Rhinolophus ferrumequinum: one gene and its partners. The protein of the gene in region 2 interacts with the protein of the main gene of each other region in a biochemical or structural test. Links are inferred from orthologs where the notes say so. Each region holds a gene or a part of one and is shown on either strand. Other genes may lie near its edges.

Region 1 (7,068 bases), on a different chromosome or scaffold from region 2:
ATAGCACTGTGTCTAGCAGGAGCTCTGAGACCTGGCAGCTCCAGCTCCAATCAAGAGATGGAAACCACAAGAAGCTAGCAGAAAGAGGGCAATAAAGCTAGCCAACCGCAAAGAAAATATCAGCAGGGGAGGAGGGACTTGGAGGGGAACAGGAAGAGGAGGAGTAATCATTTAGGCCCTGGTTTACCAGAAAATATTTCGGTTTTCAGGAATCCCAGCTCTACTCCACAGTGGGCCCTGGGTTAGCTGCTTTTCCTGTCTGCTTCTCTGTTTTTCTGCAAAATGAAATGTGGCTAATACTCCTTAGGGCTGTTCCTGAATTAAAAAATATATATATACAATCTGTTCCTAACAGTTTCCTGCTATGTTGCAGGTTTTCAATACACTGTAGCTATTAAGATCATTGCAAGAGCCCATGAAACCCTCCTCTCCCAAGGCACATGCACACATAGTCAGGTATGGCAGCTCTAGAGATATTGTTGGGGTTAAGCTTGAGTTATGTGAACAGTCAGGGTATGTGATTGCTGTACCACCAATGGTCCAGCTGAAAGGGGCTTTGAAAATCATTTACTCTAACCCTCTTTTTTTGTAAACAGGACACTTTAGCACAGCAAGATTAAGGGTTGTGCCTGGAACTGGAATCAAATCTCAGAACTCAAGACAGCAGAGCTCTTCCTCCTGCGTCACAACTAGAAAGAAGGTCATAGGCTGAGTACCTAAGGAGCAGTTGGAAGGCTTATCACTGGTTAAAAGATAACTGGAGGGACCAGGAGAACTGACTGATGGTCCTAATAGCTTACAAATTAAACAGTTTTGTAAAACATTTAACTCCAAATTATGAGCAGCAAAACAACAGTGGGGGTGGGGTGATGAGCAGAAATATTCTGGGTGAAAGCATGTAAATGATTGAAATGGGAAGGGTTTGGTTTTAAGGAAACCCATGGGAATTTCACCTCAATTTGGGAACTGGTACATTTCAGAGTTTGTAACTTACACAGAGCTACTGGAACAGAGCCTCATACTGCTCTGTGAACTCTTAAGGGAAACAAGAGTTCTTTTCTCTATTTCCAATACCTAAGACTGTGAGGTACACAGTGCACCCTTAATTCTGTCTAATAGAACTGCATTAGAATGCTAATAGAAATAGCAAACCAGCTGCAATCTGGGGTCTGCCACAGAAGAGCCATGTGAAAATTTTAGGAAATCACTTCTCTGTGCTTCAGTCTTCATCTGTAGGATGGGCATTATAATGGTGTGAGGATTAAGTGAATGACTATAGACACAGTATTCAGAATACGCCCAGGCACATGGTAAACTATCAATAAAAGTTACTTGTCACTTCTAAATGTTATTATAATAGAGTATCACCAGAATTGGGAGAAAATTTTATAGTTGTCATTCAAGGTCCAGGGACCAGGGAGGGAAGGATTAGGGAAGGATCTCTTTTGTGTGCAACTCCCAGGGAATGAATGAAACCAGCCCTCAAGTCTCCTCTTCCTTATAGGAAAAGGACGGCAAGGGGTTTATACCGCTGGCCTAAAGCCCAGGCTTCTTCTGGTAGCTGTGAGACCATGACAGATTAAGGATTGGAGAGGAGGCCCAAAGAGTACCTGCGGGTCAAAAAAGCAAATCAGATCATCGCAATTCCTTCACCTGTAAATTATTTGTAACATTTATCTTAATGACCCTGTCTGAAGATAAAGAGCACAATCTTAAAAGTCTCCGCTCCTCCATTTCCAAAATTCAACGGTTGTTCCCTCTACCACACTTAAGTCGTCTGCCTTCCAATCCGGCTGCGCAGCCCACAGGAGAGAAAAACCAGGCAAGTGGCGGGGGAGGGGTGATGGGAAAAACGCCCGGATGCAGAAAGATACCTTAATATTTCTCCTCTGTTCCTCCTCGCTGCCTACACGAGATTTAATTACATAAACCAGGGTTCAAAACGGAGAGAAAAAGGCCTTAGTCCTTCTTGATTGTGCCCAGCTACAATCTAATCAGATAGGTACCGGGGAAGGCTGGCTGCCCCCGTACATGTCGCCGGAGCCAAGAATGATGAGGCAACCCGGCTGTTGCGCAGAGAACGTGACCTTGTTTTCTGGGCCAGTCCTGTCTTGTGGCAGCCCCCTGCCCCCCAACTCCCAGTCCTCACAGTATAAAAGGATTCCCTGGCTTCCCAGCCTTTCCCTCCCAAAGCCAATGCTACGAGGACTGAAGTCAACTTGATTAAGGGAGAAACAGAAATCTATGGGAGCAATCCCCACGGCATCAATTATTCCCAGAAAACTTCCCTGCGATCTCAAAGGCAGCAAATGTGTGGTCCTGACCGAATCATTCTCGCACAGAAGGGCCACATTTTGAGCACATCACAACCTAAATAGCCTCTGAATACTGCTGAGTCACTCAAACGTAGGCTCCGCTCAAAGGAAGCGGTCAGCTCTAAAGATGGGTATGGGCCCCGGGGATACAGGTTTTAAAAGGTCCGCAGTCAGAACGTCCATTCCATTGGCTCTCCTCGCAGTGAAGGCCATTCAGGGGTAAGTAATTTTAGGGACCAGCGTTCTTCAGTGCCTTAGGGCAGCCATCACGACTCTCCCGCCCCCCGATATTCCCTTCTCCTCCCCCTTCCCGCTCCCCTTGCACTCACAGGGACCCTATCAGGATATTTCTTCCGGATCTTTTCTCCTTCCTTTTTCCGATACTCAAATGGATGGTCCTCCTTATACTGGAACTTCATGATGAACCGCAGGGTTTCTAAGATCCCCGGACGGGGCCTGCCTTCCTCGCTGATGATTGCGTCTCTTGGGTCTTATTCCCTCCGCCAAATTTCAATGTGTCGGAATCGCTTCAGAAATGGCAGCTCCTGTCGCAACGCAGCTTGGTAGAGCTTCTGAAGGGATCTCGGGTGCCCTAGCCTGCAAGTAGGAGATGGCCAGGTAAAGAATTCCCGGTGGCTTTTCCCGAGAGCTGGCAACACAATAACAACACGGCGGCGCGTTGGTATTGTGACGTCACGGCGCCCCGCCCTTCATCCCGCCCCCAGCGCTCTGGACCGCGCGAGTTGGGGGTGGACAGACACTGTCGGTTTCAGTGTATTCTTCTTCTATCGAAACTTTACCTGAACAGAGTTCTCATGCAAATGAGAACAGTTTTTACTTCTTATTTTATTGATAATGTGGCATTAAAGGTGGTTTTAAAACAAAACATTTTCTAAAGATGTCTTTTTCCCTCTCCCTCGCTGTTTCTTGGTTGGATCCAAAAACAAACACACTGGAAGAAAATCCAGCTTTTTCCAGCTTGTTAGGATCTGAAGTCTGGGGGAAGGAGGGATCAGGGTCCTGGAGTTTATTTGGCCAGTGCAGACGTGCCAGGCACTTGCATTTTGCCCTTTGCTCCTTCATTTGCCACCTCCAGGAACCTCGGGAGCTAGGCTGGCTTCCTCTGACCGTGACCCTTCCTTCACCACGTTCGCGTCATTTTGTTTGGGTCCATGCCGCAGTTGCAATTTGTTCCTGGAGCAGGAACGTAAACAAAACGTGACTCAGGAATTTGAAAAGACACATTAGGTAAAGGACATCAGATGTAATCAAGGTCCAGAGAAGTGGTGTCAGTCTTAACTACTAAGGGCTTCACGCCTTTTCAAATATAGAAATGATTCATTTTCTCCTATTAACGCAGAAGTTGGGCCTATCTGATGGAAAAGAAAATATCAAGTGATCTAAGTGATTAACTCAGTGGTTCTCAAACATTCTTTTCTCTTATGCAAAAATTCACCTGAAGGTTAGTACTGGTTAAGTATCCCTAATGTGAATAGAAAGTGCCACCTGAAAAGGGGGAGTGGAGGACTCTGGGTGGTGGGCCAGGTGCCAGTATCACCTCTCTCTGGCCCTCCCCTTTCTCCAACAAGAATCAAAAGGACTAAGGCCTTTCCAACCACTGTTCCTGGCAGTGATTCCAGGAACCTATGGTGGGGGACAGAGGAAATTGTGAAAGATAAGGGTGAGGACAGGCTGGTCTGCCCAAAACAAGGGAGCTCTGCTAACTATTAATATATTAGAAAATGGCAGCCCCTATCTACTTTTGTCAAGGTCTCAGTGTCTCTGATTTAAAAAACAAATCCACAAAAGAAACTGAGTTTCATTATTGAAACGAGAATGAATTACATAGCCCTACTTCTTGATGTTAATTTTTTTTCTCCATGGTATCTTTCAGTCCTTTTTATGTGTGAAAATCCAGGAATTATTTTATCACATTATATTTTTATAATTTTTATTCCTTATTTTCAAATTGAAATTTTCAGCTTATTTTAGCTTCGGTTCAAATAGAGCTAAATGTCTCAAAGGAGAACCTTACAACCAGTTGAGAAAAGTAATTACGATGAAGATTAATATTTTAAGACTATTATTCTATGATCAAATCTACTGGAAACAATCGTAGCTAGTTAAAAATACTGATTTTAACTTTTAAAAATACCTAAGCACAGTGGCAATTTATATATGAAAAATAATTTGGAGATGGAATTTCGATTAATCTTTCTGCCTCAAGGCTTTTCTAAATGCTAATGCTTTATTGTAGAATACACAATCTGTGAACTTCCAAAGTTTGCTCTCTGCCTGTATTCTCAGCATAACATTTAATATATTACACAAAATGTAATATTCTCTTAGTTCATATGTGAGAAATTTTAAGGAAAGATTCTGATTAGTCTTTTATAAGTCACCTGGCCTTCTTAATGGTCAAGGCAGTGAGAATCTATGATTTGTGGGTCCCACTAGAACTACGCAGTGGTTAGTGTGGGAGGAGTAGCTTCCTACAAAGCAATGTATACCTCCGCCGCCAAAAAAAAAAAAAAGAGAGAAGGAATGGACATGGTATTATCTAATGAACAATACATCATTTATGTGTCCTGTGACAAAAATAAGCACACAATGCTTTCAGAGCACATTGTAAAGACACAGAGGGACCCAGGCAAATGGGGGTTAAAAGAAAGGCTTCCTGAAGAAGGCGATGCCTGAACTAAGCTCCAAATGATTTACAGGAATTAGGCCAAAAAAAAGAAAAAAAAATAGGAGAAAATGTTTTTACAGGAAGATCATTTGACGATATCCAATGACCATAAATAAGGGCAATATAGGGAAAGAAGTAATTTAAATAATTTAGTATGCCTGGAACATAGACTACAAAATACGAAATGGCTATATATGAGGCTAGAGAAATAAGTCCCTTTTTTAATTATGGCGTTTTGATGATGTACGATCAGAGGCTTACAGTAGCCACTGTATTCATTTCATAAAATCTAAATTTGCAGTCTAAATGCACCAGTCCAACATAAGAAAGATAAAGAAGATGTCAGTCAGAGACTCATGATGTATAGATAGGGATAGAGATAAATGTAAAGATAGAGTTGGAGGGAGAACTAATGGCATTTAAGTCCCTAGTTTCAGGTAGTCTCTGTGCTATTTGGTAACATGTTACTTGTATTTATATCCTCAATGCTTTGGATACAAAATGAAGACTCAAAAAGTGCATAGTATGTCTATGGGGACAGAGCCAGGAGCGCAGTTTCCAGGCTCTCACCCTCACGTGGAAAGGTGCTCACTGGGGTAGTAAATGGCCATCAACTGTGATGGGATGGCCATCAGCTGTGGCTAGTTGGCCGTCAGCTGTAACCAGTGAGCCATTGGCCACTAATATAACTGCTGTGGCTACGCTAACAGAAAATGGGGGCTGGCAAGAAGGTGGTGGCTAAGCTAGCAAGAGCAGATTGCAGTTAGCACAGCAGAGTGTGGATTGCGGATTGCAGAGAGGCGGATTGCAGTTAGCAAGTGAGGTTGGTTGGCAGAAACAAGTGGACGGCGGGTTGCAGATCGTGTGGCTCCTGCTTCCTGTGTCTCCAACCCAGGCGCCAGTGAGACTATAGCGGTATGACTCTCCTATCTATGGCTCCGTGGGTGTTCCTTTTTGGCCTCACCATATCCTGCATTCTTATGTGGGGAGCGGGAGCTGAGACCCTGCATGACACCGTGCATGACAATGTCATAGTCAAGAAAGCAAAGGGTAGACTACTGATTTAAGATGGTGGATTGAAAAAGATATAGTTTTCTTTGTTGTCTCCTGAAAATCCACTAAATCAACTGTGTCATAGGTTCAATTATGTCCCCTGAAGAAATGTTGAAGTCTCAACACCCAGTATCTATAAATGTGACTTTACAAATAGGGTCTTTGCAGATAATCAAAAGATGAGGTCATTAGGGTAGGCCTTAATCCAGTATAATTGGTGGCCTTCTAAAAAGGAGAGCATTTCGACAAAGAGAAAGACATGCAAAAAGGAAAGAGGATTTAATATACATGCTTTATGTATAGTATGTGTATATGCATTAACCCCTGTAATCCACACATAATAATATAATGTATATGTACTCATTTTATCATTTTACAACTTAAGAATTTGAAGCATAGAATGATTAAGTGACTACACCATGATTGGACAAGGAGTAAGGAAAAAGCCCAAAAGCCTGGTTTTAGCCTCTTATTCAATAATAGTCTTTTTGCCACGACCCATTATACTCATCTAATTAAAATTACGATATAACTATGCTTAGAAGATAGGAGGCACAAGAAATGTTCAGATGTGTCATGGTAGCAAAGGTAGGGATCATGGTAACGAAAAGGGGTAAATTTTATTTCTTCTATAACGGCAAGTTGATAGATGATGCACCAAACTGAACATAAAAATCAAGAATAGCAATATATGCATAGTATTTGTTGAAATGTAGATTTTACAAAGTCAGCTGAAAAAGTAGGGCGTATGCGTACATGTACGGGGGTAGTGGGAAGGTGCTATTTTTCTTCACAATCCTTATAGAGCTCTTTGACTTTTTAATCTTCATAAATGCATACATTTAATTCAAATAATAAAATTAAATTTAAAAATAAGAGCAAAAGTTTTTTCCATTTGGTATTTCAAGCCTGAGGAAGTTGAGTATAAAACCAACTCAGACATTCAGATCCCTGCAAGTTACATCACTTCCTGCAATTCAGCCTCCAAAGCTGACAAAAGGGAACACACAG
Region 2 (7,507 bases):
TTATTTATTTCTCTTTTGGTTTAGAAGGGTGTTTAAATAATTGGTGACACTACTAGAATGGATGTGTTTTAGATTAAAAAATGGTCACATTTATTAAATATACATTTTATATTCCAAAATTAGAAGCTAAATTTCTTTTAAAACAGTGGAATCCTGATTTATTTTTATTTTCTGTGAGCTCTTAAGACCATTCTGCACTATATCAAAATGAAATCGCTATTTAATAATCTTTATATGTTCAATTTCTTTCCTTTGCAAAAGGGAAGAAAACGAAACCAAATTTAACAAACTATATTAACCTAGAATACTAAAAACTGACTACTTTAGAATTTGGTAAATCTATTTTCATTATTCTGAAGGAAAATATAAACCTTCAAAACCATAGCAACACTTTCTAGTCCAATTTTCTATTATAAAACTTAAAAAGTTAAATGCCTCGTGGCACTAAATAGAATTAAAAAGTTAACTGAAGACTAAATTAGATAACCAAAATATAAGCAGTGTAACTAACCATAACAATTCACTGGTACAATGAATACTTGAACAATGAAAAAAACCACCAAGCATTTTAATCAATTGTACACTTCATTTTTTGCATATTTTAATCTCGACTTTTAGCACAGTAAATTATTATATAGGTTAATTTTGTGGACTGTTTTTAAATTTTGGAACGTTACATAAGTAATTCAACATTACGCTTTCTAAACCAAATCTGTGGTACTAATCAATTTTTTTTTCAGGAAAAGGAAAGGATATCTTTTTAAAATACATTCCATAGCAGTAGAATCACCTGTAGTGTTTCCAAATATTTACAAAGAGCCCTGCGGATCCTGTGCATTTCGCTGAGGTGCTACCTGCACCCAGACTTCATCATCAGAAAAAGAACTTGAACTTCCTGACTCAGAGTCCAGCTCACTGAATCCATCTAAGTCCCATTCAGTACTAGACTCACTCCGTGCATCATCTTCCTCAGTGATGAAACTCTGACCAGGTTCAAGGCAAGAAGGATAAACACGAGCACAGAGGCAAATAAAGCCCGAGTCAAACTGCAAAAGACCTAACATTGTGCCTATATTAATCCATAGGTCTTCCCTAGTATCATATTCGTACACAGTCACCCGGTTTTTTTTCCATTGTGGGGTGGTAGAAGTGATGAGAAGCAACTTTTGGCCATGATTGACAATCTGATAGTTGTGGGTCTCTGAGTCCAGGGGAATATTACTAATCCTCCGCCATTCTCCCCTGGCTGGGTTATAGACCTTCATGACGGGGATGTCACAGATGCAATAGATCTCATCATTGAAGACACAGGCTTCCTGAAAGTCACTACGTTTAAGAGAAGCACAGTTCAACCACATATTGTGACTAGGATCATAGCAGAGCATGCGTTTACTGTTCACAGCATAAAGATAGTTCTGAACCACTATTAATTCGAAGGAATAGAAGGAGTGGGGAACAGGAGCCACCAGTGCCCACTGGTTTCTCTGAACACTGTAGCATTCCACTTCCTTCAATTTAACTCCAGTAATAGGGTCTCGCCCACCCAAGATGTAAATGTACCCATTAAGGTATGCCACATCCATGCCCTCACGGCAGAGCAAGCGATCTGCAAGTTGCTGCCAACTGTTCTGGGCTGGTTTATACACCCAGAGGTCTTTCCTGGGCTGGGCAGCTAGATAGATGTCATGGTCTGGAGAGACGCAGACAGCTGAGGAGGTGATAGTCTTAGTGTGGGCCAAGCTGGTCAAAGGTGAGGGCATTGTGTAAATGTCCCCTGAGTATGGGTCATAGCAGAGAAAGGGATCTCTGGGATGTCCAAAGAAGATCACCATCTCCTTGGCACACACACCCAGCCTCTGGGGTGGATTTTCTGCTGCAGAAACAACAGAGCTGCTGCTGCACTCTGGCTTTGGCACCAGAGACTTGTACAGTATGTCACCATATCGCATCTGCAGGGCCCCTTCAATAAGGTCCAGACAGTACTTCTTCACAATGGGCTTGGTTAGCAGCGCTTCCAGGTAATCCTGATCTTCATCAGTGAAGTGTGTCCAGCGGACACACTTGAAGACTTCCGCAGCGCTGGGACCCCGCTCCTTGGGAGCCGCTTCCAACCACTGCACCGCCACGTGACACACCGTTTGCTCACTCTCGATGTTTAAACTATCCAGGCGCAGCACGGCCAGCAGCTGGGCCAAAGTCAGATCTGCCAGGGTCTCCTCCCGAATCGAACCCATCCGGCTGAGCTGCTTGAAGTTGTGGGCGATGAAGGACTGGGCCTGTGAGCGCAGCTTGTGGTGGTCGAAGGCGTCGGCGAACTTGAGAATGGCGGTGCAGTTGGCCAGGTCAAGGCGGCGGGCTAGGAAGGAGGCACAGGCTTCCCGCACGTACTCGAGCTGTAACATGTCCGAGGCTGCATAAAGGCGCTGCACGTTGGACTCGCTTAGCGACACGCGACCCGTGTAGCAGTATTCGACCAACACCTCGAAGGACTCGGCATCCACATCGTGCATGGTCACGTTTGCCTGCTGGCTCTCGTACATGCCGCCGGTGAACATGCTCTTGAAGTAGGGACACGCGGCAGCCAGCACGTTACGGTTGCAGGGGAAGAGGCGGCCCGTGCCAGGCCCACTGCCAGGCGTCACCACCTCGATGGTCACATCACACAGCAGCCGCGCGTCGTAGAAGGACTTGAGCTGTGCCAGCAGGGCTGCAGAATGGGCCGTGTCCTTCAGCTCCTCAGGGCCCGCGAAAAAAGCCGAAACTGAGGGCTTGGAAATCCTCTTGGGCCGCCTCCCACCACGGGGACTGGAGAGGCGGCGAGAGCGCGGAGCGTCTTCCCGAGACTGCATGGTGGAGATGGCCGCGGTGCTGAGGTGAGAACCCGGGCAAGGACGGAGCTCCGGCTCCGCCTCAATCTGCTCTAACCAGCGCAGATAGGCGCTTCCCTGTATAGGGGCCGCACCTTTTAAACTCAGCCCCACGCAGCGGTGCCGCCTCCTTTTATCGCGTAGACAGTGTCTTACTCACCCTTTCCAGTTCCGCGCCCCCCCTTTTTTTTTTTTTTTTCACCTCAGCTCGCCCTCAGTGAACCCGCTGACTGGAACCAAGTGAGCCACCACTGCTGCGCTGACGACACGGGATCCTGAACTACGACTCCCAGGCTGCTTTTCGCACTCGAGGCGTGCCTGGACAGTCCAGATGCTCATAGGCTGAATAATAGTAAGCCGCTTTGCACGTTGGGAGTGATAGCTTGAATAATATCGCGAGGTTTCTTGGGGCGGAGTGTTTCTTCAGGTAATAGAATTAGAGAGCGTTAATGCTCCTCGATTTAATGGTTTAAAACTTTGGCTTTGAAATACAAAGTAAAAGCCCCGTTTCAGTATTCATTAATTATGTCATTTCTCCCTGAAAACTTATTTGTAAAATGGGGATAATAGTATTCATAGGATTGTATTTGGATATAGAAAGTTTCAATAAATATTTGAGAACAAAAATTGTTTACACTGTGCTTAGTACATATTCAGTCAGCTTAGTACATATTCAGTTAGCTTTTATTTTAGAATTTATGAAAATTGAGACACCCCCTAATTTGAAACCATGAGCAATTTCTGAAAACTTACCGTTTTTAGTGTTGCTTCTTTTGAAAGGCTGTGAAGTGTATTACAATATTTATTTTCAATACTAAACGATATTCACAGGTTCATTAATATGTCTTAGACAAAATGAGATCCTAGAGGACAGCCATTGTAGATGGCCTCAGTTATGCAAATCAGGCATTAAATGGATGGGTTGACTCATCAAGTCAACACTTCATCTCCTGGGTAGCAAGACTATTTTCACAGCCTCTTCATGAGTGTTTGCAAGTCATCTAATACTGCTCCTTTCACTTCCTTTCCACAAATCAGTTGTAAATTCTGGAATTGTTTTTATTAAGTAGTTTTAATGAGAGTTTTAAAGTATAATATTTAAATAAACAGACCTTGTATTGTACACAAGCCAAGATCCTCAGAGTACCGTATTCATACATGCCCTGACATTTCTTAAATTTATGTAGTAGAGTCGATGCTTTACTAAATTGTTGACATAGCTATATAGATCAACATTATCTGCTAGTTAAATTGTCAAAATCAAGTGCTTAGAGACTTGATTTTTTTTAGTTTGGGAACTTTAATTTAAAAACTAGACTGCTTCTGCTGTTAGTTTGCCATGGGTCACCATTATGAATGAAATGTTTAGTATTACACGAATATGTAGACAACACATAGTAGGAAAATAACTCTCAACTTGTATTTCTCTCTTTTCCTATTAGCTAAAGTGGGTCTACTGGAAATACCCCCAGGAAATAGACATTAAATTAAGTGGGGCTCTGGGCCCCAATGTCTCCTCTGTACCTCAGTTGGGTGTCCCTCAGATATACCAGAAAGAATTAAGTCATTAGTAACTCTGATTGCTTTCTCATCTGCACTAAACACAAGCTGGGGTAAACAGCAATTTAAAAAATTATATTGGTAAAATATACATAACATATAGGTTACCATTTTAGCAATTTTGAAGCATACGGGTACATTTCTTTGGCATTAAGTACATTCACATTGTTTTGCAACCATCACCACCATCCATCTCCAGAACTGTTTTCATATTGCAAAATTGAAAGTTTGTATCCATTCACAGTAACTCTCCTTTCGCCCTCTCCAAAACCCCTGGTAACCACCATTCTACTTTGTCTCTGAATTTGACTACTCTACATGCCTCATATAAGTTAAGTGATTGATTTTTAACTTCCTTATATCAGTCCATACTTTGTTATTTGGTTTATATTATCTTTCACGGAATCTGAAATATTTAGTAGACACAGTGCCCTAAGGTCTAGAGCAGTGCTGTCACAGAACTTTGTGCGATGTGCAAATACTTAATATCCGCCCCACTGATATGGTAACCAGAAGCCACCTGTAGCTCTTGAGAACTTGAAATGTGGCCAATGCAAATGAGGAACTGAATTTTAAATTTTAGAAACACAGCATTGGTATCGATGAAATTCAGTGGAGAAAGAAGTCTCTTAGACAAGTGGTGTTGGAACAACTGGATCATAATGTGAAAAAAAACATTAACCTTGACCCTTATACCATAAACTTATACCATAAACAAAAATTAATTTGAAATGGATCTTAATGTAAAACAGAAAATTGAAAACCACAAAGCTTCTAGAAGAAACCATAGGAGACTATCTCTGTGACTGTGAGGTAGGCAAAGATTTCTTAGGATACATGAAACATTAACATTAAAAAAAATTGATAGGGGTGGCAGGTTAGCTCAGTTGGTTAGAGTGTGGTGCTAATGACACCAAGGTTGCCGGTTTGATCCCCGTATTGGCCATTGTGAGCTGAGCCCTCCTTAAAAAAAAAGAAAAGAAAATTGATAAAATGAATTTCAACAAGATTACAAGCTTTGTCCAGGAAAAGCAATGAAAACAGGGACAGCTGGTTAGCTTAGTTGGTTAGAGTGCAGTGCTCTTAATAAAGTTGCTGGTTCGATTCCCACATGGGCCACTGTGAGCTGTGCCCTCCACAAATAGATTGAAACAACTACTTGACTTGGAGCTGACGGGTCCTGGAAAAACACACTTAAAGTTGTTTTTTTAAAAAAAGCAATGAAAACAAAATAAAAAGGCAAGTCATAGACTGGCAAAAAATATTCATAATACATATAAGCCAATGGCCAATAAACATGAAAGCCCATCAATGTCATTCATCATGAATGCAAATTCAATTCACAATGAGAAAATACTGCACAGCCAATAGAATGGCTAAACTTAAAAAGATCAATAAGAGCAAATGTTGGTGATTATAGGGAGCCATTGGAACTCTCATATATTAATTATGGGAATGTAAATTGGTATGTCCCCTTTAAAAAACCGTTTGGTAGTTTTTTTGAATGTTAAATGCCCAATAATTTCACTGCAATTTCCAAGGGAAATTAAAACATATGTCCACGAAGTGTTCACAGTAGCCTCATCCATAATAGCCCAAAACTGTAAATATATATGTGCATCAAGGAGAATGAGAAAAATTAATTGTGGTATATTCATAGTGTAATGCAAGTCAGAAATAAAAAAGAAACAAACTTTGATGCACATAATAATGTAAACAAGTTTCGAAAATTTTATGTTGAACAAAAGAAGCCAGATACACAAGAGTACATACTGTATGACCGTCTATGCTAAGTTTCAAAACAGTGAAAATAAGCTATGGTGAATAAAAATCATAATAAAGGCTGCCAGTGTGGGTTGGTGGATTTCTGCATTGGCTGCAGAGGAACCCAAAGAAACTTTCAGGAGTGATAGAAATGTTCTCATCTTGATTGGACTGAAGGCTGCACGGGTGTATGCAATTGTCAAATTCAATGAACTGTCTCTTAAGATCTGTGCATTTAATTTACTGTAAATTATACCTCCTAGGAGGAGCCACTTGGTAATTGCTAGCAGTAAATCAAGTTGCAGAATTCTTTGCCAGGAAATCGTGAAGATAGCTCAGTCATAAACTAAGACTCCCCACGTGTAGAGGCCAACAAGGCTCCAGTTTTCAGTAGATGTGGCTGGTGCTCCGTACACACCTGGACAAAGGTGCCTCGGGACAATTTTTAAGGGTCTCAGCATACTGGAGGTCTTTCAAATTTATAAAGTTAGCTGAGCACCCAACATTCCATTCCAGTCTTCTTATTCCTGATACAACTTCATTAACACACATATACTAGTTCTCTGTGTTTGCTAAAAATCTCTTATAATTTGCATAATCCTTACAAGGGCATCTACGTTCTTGGCAGAAAGATAAAAGAGCTGTTTTTACCTGGTCATTAAGTCTCTATCAATGACAAATCTTGATTCTAGTTCTTCAAGAACCTTCAACTCTGTTCATGAATCTAACATCAGAGTCTCCTTGGCCCTTTTTCTTCTGAGGAGGCTGAGGTATCTCACTGGCTCTGCCCCCATTTCCATTTCTGGGTGACTCCAACATTTTTGTTTTGTAGCTCAGACATCTTTCCTGGGGCAGCCTCTCTCATCTTCCTTTCCGAATAATGGCTTCCTGAAGTCCTGTTTCTGCAGATCGGTTTCCATTTATTTCAGTCCTCTGCTTTCTGGAACCCATTCACCCCAGTGTTTACTCTAATCACTGTAAGTACAAAGTATTTCATTTGTTTGTCCTTTATAAAAATCTTTACACACTTTGCTTCATAAAGATGCCCATGAAAGCAAAGCAGCCGTTCACCTTCCCGGAATTTAGGCTTTGGTGGTATTTATCAGTGATTCTGCACACAATCTTCTCCCATCTGAGCGTGAGTACTGCCTCTATTCTCCATCCTACCAGCTCAGGTCAGGGCTGTGGCAGGCGCCATCAGCTCTACATCCTGGGCTCCCTCATATTGTTTTTCGCTCTGATTTTTAAATAGTCTACACACTATTCACTTTATGTCTATACCCAAAATGACTCACACTGCCTTTAGTCACTGGCAG
Region 3 (6,913 bases), on a different chromosome or scaffold from region 2:
CAAAACTCCCAGGGGCACCGCGTTTTCCCAGAGAACACAGGGCATGCGCACTAAAGGGGACAGGGCGCCGGCCTACCTGTCCCGTGGGCGCGGCTCCTGCGGGGCGGCCCTGCTCCCGTGGGTCCACCGCGCACAGGAGGAAGCCGCTCGGTTGGTCCCGCAGCTGGAGAGGATGGCAGGGCCCGCCCCGCCGGCTGCGCCATCCCTGGCGCCTCGGGGCCCCTCAGCCGAACATCTCCTGGGAGGCGTAGGTCATGTACACGAAGCCGTCCTCGTCCCGGTAGTCCCTGTAGATCTCGGCCATGGTCATGCTCATGCTGACCGTACTCTTGCTGTTCACTAGCAAGTAAAAGGCTTCAGTGGCCCCGAGGACCATGTGGCTCCTGGCATGGGGAGAGGGGCAGGAAGGGAGAAAGCTAACCTGGTGGGAAAGGGCATGGAGCCAAAGCCTTACCTCCGGTGGCCACTGTAAACACGTCCATCCAAGATGCCCACCTCCCCACTCTGGTGTGTCTCCTCAAAATTGAGAATCACCCAGGAGAGGCCTGTTGAACATGCACATTCCTGGGCTGCAGCCCACAGCATTTGGTTTAGTAGATCTCAGAAGCAGCCTAGGTAGGAATCTGCAGGAGTGTGATGCTCAAGACAGCTGAATTGCTCCCTACTTCTTCCGCAAAAAAGGGCAGGCGTTCCCATCATGGACTAGGAGACACACCAACACAAAAATGCTAATGTGGAAGCCCCTCTTTGCTCTGAAATTAAAGGTAAGTATTTCCCCAGAAGTACAAAGGGGATCCCAATTTCCTTCAGCATCTCATATTACACAGCCTTGGGGGACCTTTAGAAGCAATCTACTGCCTCTCACTGTGCTCTTCCTTCCCCCTGCCCTTCTTCCCCTAACATCAAGGAGATAGCAAAGCAGTCAAATTTGACTGGACACGCTTTACAAGTCAAGGTCAATCTAAGTCCTGATTCACCCTGGAGTAGAGGACAGCATGACAACGTTACACTCAGGTAAAGGCTCAGCCTGGCCTGAAGCGCATATCCATTTGCTCTGCTTGGGGGGGCAGGCACAGCCTGCCCACTTCAGCCTCAGAGGTCAGGTGAGCTAGATCCATGCAGCCGTGGGAGACGGGGGTGGCTGGAGCCTGAGTAATTATACAACCAGCGAATCCCTTCCAGAATAACCCCAAAGATTTTAGCTCACAATTGCATGAGTGGTCTTTGGATAAAAAAGAACTGTTCTGCAACGGGAAGGGGTAGAGCTGGGAGGGAGTGTGTTGCCATTAGCTCTGAAGGAAGCTCTGTTTCCGGAGTCTGTACCTCCATTTCCTGTCTCTGCCATGCTCCCTTGTTATGAGGGTTGTGGCTTACCCCCTGGGGGAGAAGGCCGAGGGCAGGAATTTGTTCTATTCTGTCCACTGCTGTGAACACAGAGCCCAGAGAACACTCAGGACATAGTTGGTGCTCAATAAACACTGTGAACATCAAACGTGCGGATTGGGGTGTGGGCGAGGGGTGGTGGAGAAGACAGGAAGGCCCCTGACTAGGAAGGGGGGAAAGAATGCCTCTCAGAACTCAAAGGCTTGTTGGAGGAGGGAGGTCATCTACTGTTGCATCAAGTTGTTGGGATCTAATTCTTATTCTCGTTCTCCCTCAGTTGCCTGCAGTCACTAAGCCTCCCTGAGGAGAGGAATCAGAATAATCTTACTTATTGAAACAAATAGAACAGAGATTAACATATTTATAATGAATTCTTGAAGAAATAAGCTGCAACAGTTATCGGGTTTCCAAGGGCTGGCCCTTCCAGACTTCACCCTGTGAAGGATTACCTACCAGGTCATGTCCACATTACTCCCCAGTCATTTGTATTGAATCCATGGGTCAGGTGACACCACTTCACTGTCTTCAGCTTTAAAAGTAGTTACTACCTCTTTGCTGTGCCCTAACCCAAGGGAGGAATGTGTTCTGGGGACACCTTTGTGTCCCGCTTCTCAGACTCTGAGCAGTGTGGGGAACATTTGCCTTTTGTAGAGGTCTCCACTCCCCAGGCTCGCACACTCCAACAAGGTGCCGTGTCTCTACTGGGAAAACACTGGCCAGGTTTTCCACACTATTAGGAAGAAAGGATCTTCTGGACTCGTTTTGGAACCAAGACTACTTTAGGAAATTCTTAGAAATGTTAGCAGCTCTGACTGTCTTTAGATTTGTTATCTCAGAGGTTCTCCCACCTGTTTAAAATAGATGAATTCTCAGAGCATCTTTTCTGGGCACTGCAGAACCTACAAGGTGGTGAGTCACAAAGAAAATCCTTTCCCTCTCTTCTTCTGGGACGCCACCCCACCCCCCTATCCTCAATACCAAACAAACTATCAAAGCAAACAGAAGAAGCCCAGGACCATGCACACGTCCCCACGAGCACCGTGTCACCTACCGTATGATGCTGAGGAACTGGGCCACGGTCAGCTCCTGGGGGACCAGGAACTTAGTCTTGTCCAGCGGGGGCAGGAACTTCTCCCTGGAATAGCGCTCCACTACCACCTGTCGGGAGTTTCCGCCCTTAAGAATGTGACTCAGAACTCTCAGTATCTTAGAGTCTTACAACAGGGAGACAGAGAGAGTGGGTTTTTTGTTCCTGTTGTTGTTATTATTATTATTTTTTTTCCCAAGCAACAGAATAGTGTACCCCTTTTCCAAAAGTACAATGGAGTCTTACCGGGATCTTGTTTGGGAACTTTGCCCGGATTCCAGCCACTTCCTCTTGTCTGGTTGCTGTGAATATTTCAAGTACAAAAGAGTAAGGAAACGGCGAGAGCAGTCTGTATCCTTTTCCTTCTCTGTCTGGCAACCCAGACAGCTACCCGAGAACTTTACCTAAGCTCTTCCTCTGCTTGAATGGTCTGAGGCTTGGGCTTTTCTGCGGAGTCTGCATTTTGCTCAACAGCCCTGTCTGTGTCTGGCTTAAAAAAAAAAAAAAAAAAAATCCACAGCCAGGACCTAACTCATTCCTCCAGCTGCTTCCAACCCGCCTGCAGGAGGCTAAAGGAGGCCCTTATGTAGGGCTGTGTGACATCAGCCCTTTCCCTCTTCTTTACCCTCCCCCTCTCCCCCTCGCTGGGCAGGAGGAGGTCAGTTCTGAGGATTGAAACGGGACAGCCACCTGCTTATTGGTCAGAGAAAGTCACTTTGCTCAGGATCAGTTCAAGATAATTTTTTTTGCTGGAGAAATTAGGGTTCATAATAAAATCAGTGACTATGTAATCAAACAGCATAGTTTGAGGCTGAGAACTCTGGAGAGGTGGAACTGCCATTTGCAGAGGACCTTTTCGTACTTCAGTAATGAACCATCTTGAAGGAAGGCCAAGATGGATCCACCTGATGCTGAAATAGGCTATGTAAGTCTCACAACAGTCCTTGCCATTTTTCTCAGCGAGAAAACTATGATCAGAAATGTTAAGGAATTTGCCCAAGGTCACACAGCTAGTAAGAGAGGCAGCTGGGATTAAAACCCAGATTTGGTACCAAGTAGTGCTACACTCCAGTATATTCTGTTATCTTATCTTCTCTGCAATAATGGAGGAAAGGAAGCACAGTTATTACCCCCAAGGTCTCCCTTTAAGAGACAAGGAACAGAAGCCAATAGAAGTTAACTGATTTGCCTGGGCCAAATGGCTGGGAAGACACAGTTCTCGCAGGACCCAGAGTCCAGGGCTTGTCTCTGATACATATGCCATTTAGCTGGACCTTTAGACTCAGAATGAACAGAAGGAGTATGTGTCCTTCCTTCATTGATTTCCCAGCAAGGTCATTCAACAGAGTGAGGAGGCTTCAAATGAACAGAGTGCCGTAAAGGAAGATGATGGTAGGTCGTCCACATTTGCTGGGTGAATCAAAGGGAGCAGCTCTCAGAGCTTTAAGTTAGTGATCAGGAATGGACATCAAGTGATTAAGTGATGACATCACTGAAGAGAGGCGTGGCCTCACCCTCTCCCATTCTCTGTCTCTCTGTCTCTCTATCCTTGTCTCTCGATAACAAAGAGCAGGTATATAGTGCAGTTCTGGAATCTCGTGGCTTTCAAATCCATGATCTCATTGAAACGATTGCCTTGTGGGGGTGGGAAGGGCAGGTAGGATGAGCGTTTTGCAGATCCATGTCTACCCAGAATACACTGAGGTGGGGCCAACCCAGACCGTCCACTTCCCAGGGGTGGCTCCACATCCTGGACCAGGAAAAACTGGTTCCAGGCCTGGCCCTCCCTACTATCACCTCCATTTCTGATCTTGGATAAATTATTTCACTTTACTAAGTATGTTTTCCCTTTTTGCAAAATGATTATTTTTACCTCATTAAAGTGGTTAGTTTTACCTAATTCAGAGTATGTGTATGAGACTTACATGAACTGATTATGTAAAGCAGCTAGTACAGTGCCTGGCACTAAATCTGATGCTCAGTGTGTATGTCTCTCTCCCCACCAGGCCTCTTCAAAGCCCCCACAATCCCAGGAAAGTTCACATGACATCAGGTTTGAAGGCTGAAGGCAATAGCACTGGGTTGGGGACCAGGGAAAAATAACCCCCAGCTGCACTGTTTGGCCAATCGTTATTGGGAGGAAACATTGAGACGTTTCCTACCTGCCCGGCATTTCGCTTTCTCCTCTGGCACGTAGGATTATCATCTCGGCCAAGTCTACTTCTCCGGATGTAATGGGGGTGACAGAATAAAGGACTTGGGAAAATATTAAAATGTGGCAATACTCAGAATGTATCATCATTCAGCAGAGGAATGGCTATATTGTTTCTCTTTTGTTGCAAAGTTTCCTTTTTGAGAAGAGCAGAGTGTCCATGGGTACTGTGGGCCCCATCACGGTCCTTGGAACCTAGTTGGCAGAAGGTAACCAAAGACACATAATGTCGCGCCACACAGGTTGTGTAGGGAAGGAGATAGGAATAGCACTGTGGAAAATGGCTGGTGCCAGAGTGCCTAGGCTTGGTCCAGGAGCCCATCTACTGATATTTTAATAAACAAAACCGACACTGCCCATGATGTACAGTGGGAAATATTGCACTTCTTTGTCCTGCACACAAAGCACATGAAACACGAGCTGGCTGAGGCCATGTTGATTCCCTCTACCCTACACTTTCACCCACTCTCATCCCTCTGTCTGACCCATGTACTGGGAAGGGGGCTGGTGACAGGACACATGGAATCCTGGTACAAAAGAGAGTGAGCTAGTAAAATAAGAGGTGGCAGAGAGTGGGACACTTGCTGTTGGGTTAGGGAAGATTTATTCCCCTCCTCCCATAAACACACCTATGCCCCACCCTCCTTTTAAAAGAACAACCAGTCAACTTTCTCTTGCCTCTTCCAGACATGTGACTGTCATGGAAAGCAAAACTTTGACAACGCACCTGGGCTCTACATCTTGCTTACTTAACTTCTTTGAGCCTCACGGTCCTCCTTAGCAGAATGGACATGCTTTCTCATCTCAGAGAGTCGTGTGGAGATGAAAGGTGGGAATCTGCGTGATGTACACAGAGATATGGGTGACAGTAGGAGCTCATAATATGACGTCTCTCATACTGCTCGTGGCCTGTGGAGCTGGGAGCCCAGCCCCCGCTACTCACACTTCCTGAACCTTTTGCAAGAGTTGGCCGAGCTCAGTCTTTCCACTTAGCTCACTGCCTCTCCGCTCCGTAAACCCCTGCAGTCTGGAGTCTGTCCCGACACTAATGCATGCTCTCAGGAGGTCAGCAATAATACACACCAGCACCTCTTTGTAGCCCTTACCTTATTTGATCTTTCGTCCTTCAGCATGTGGCCGTGTGCATTTTCTCCTTCCAACAACTCTCGTCTTTCAGATTCCAGGATTCCATTTTCTTGGGGTTCTTCTCCCCCCACCGTCTCCTCCCTTCTCCAGCTGCCTCTCCCTCATTTGCAGAGCCAGTTCTCCTCAGAACCCCTAAGGAGATAAACAGAATATCCATTTATCCATAATAAATTCTCATTTCTTATGTGAATAGAAACTGTTCTATGTTTCTGGCCCTGTAGCGATCGGTCACCGCATCCATCGCAGGCAGTTGTGTGTAACAGCTGCATCGTCGCTGTGCCCATGGAGCTTTAGCATGAGCCCCCGACGATTGCCATCCTTCCCTTCTCATTGCTGCCCAGGCCCTTGCTATGTGCAAAGTTTAGAGTCACCAGTGCCACTTCTCCTGTCCCTTGATCTTGGCCTTTCCCTGGGCCCACCCAGTCCTCTTCTTGCTCTATATGCTTTCCGGGGATGATTTGAACCATTGCTGAGGAGTTTCCCAAGGTGACTCAGTTTCTCCTATGTGAGTTAAAATAGGCCTGTCCCTTGGCACCTGTGGGTGTGTGGGGCTCGGGGTGACTAGGACAGATCCATCTTGGTTCCTGTCCTGTCCTATTGTGGCTGCTGTCATTCATCCCTCTTGGCTACAAGCTCTGATTCTAGTGGGAAACTGGGTGGACAGTTATGACACCATGGAAGTGAAATGTGCACGTCTAAAGTGAGAGGCCGCTGCAAGCTGGCGGGCTGAGAAGAAGGAAGTCTTCATCACTGTGTCCACGTCAGGGAGGAGAGAGGTTCTGGAGGCTGCCGCAGAATGTCGCATGACTCCTTCAGTACATTGCCTGGACTTGGCGGCTTCACAGGGTCCATGGCGGGGGGATAGGAGATGTATGAGAGTGGCTCCTGCTGTCGCCTGGAGGCCCAGACATCCCGTCCTGATACGACTCACTCAGGATGAGAAGGGAACATCCAGGAGGAATCTCAAGGCAGAAAGCTGAAATTCAAAGTTATGTCATTCCGTTTTATTTTTTGCTTTTTATCATCAAGTGCCCTTTAAAAGGCTGCCTACCAGTAAGACTTGTTTATCTGATCAACATAAATGA

The links.
Region 1: the proteins of KBTBD7 (region 2) and GABARAPL1 form a complex in vitro, tested with the Homo sapiens proteins (2 studies listed by BioGRID and IntAct, with this or other methods). The link is inferred for Rhinolophus ferrumequinum from reciprocal best matches to the Homo sapiens genes KBTBD7 and GABARAPL1.
Region 3: the proteins of KBTBD7 (region 2) and MAP1LC3C form a complex in vitro, tested with the Homo sapiens proteins (2 studies listed by BioGRID and IntAct, with this or other methods). The link is inferred for Rhinolophus ferrumequinum from reciprocal best matches to the Homo sapiens genes KBTBD7 and MAP1LC3C.

What each region holds. Positions count from the first base shown.
Region 1 is NC_046293.1:25,902,289-25,909,356, reverse strand, and holds the start of GABARAPL1 (gamma-aminobutyric acid receptor-associated protein-like 1), read right to left. Parts: upstream 3,007-7,068; 5' UTR 2,735-3,006; coding exon 2,645-2,734; intron 1-2,644. UniProt on the Homo sapiens protein: Ubiquitin-like modifier that increases cell-surface expression of kappa-type opioid receptor through facilitating anterograde intracellular trafficking of the receptor. Involved in formation of autophagosomal vacuoles.
Region 2 is NC_046287.1:8,877,882-8,885,388, reverse strand, and holds the start of KBTBD7 (kelch repeat and BTB domain-containing protein 7), read right to left. Parts: upstream 3,016-7,507; 5' UTR 2,850-3,015; coding exon 810-2,849; 3' UTR 1-809. UniProt on the Homo sapiens protein: As part of the CUL3(KBTBD6/7) E3 ubiquitin ligase complex functions as a substrate adapter for the RAC1 guanine exchange factor (GEF) TIAM1, mediating its 'Lys-48' ubiquitination and proteasomal degradation.
Region 3 is NC_046310.1:18,307,888-18,314,800, reverse strand, and holds the start of MAP1LC3C (microtubule-associated proteins 1A/1B light chain 3C), read right to left. Parts: upstream 3,007-6,913; 5' UTR 2,933-3,006; coding exon 2,875-2,932; intron 2,773-2,874; coding exon 2,717-2,772; intron 2,542-2,716; coding exon 2,435-2,541; intron 384-2,434; coding exon 224-383; 3' UTR 1-223.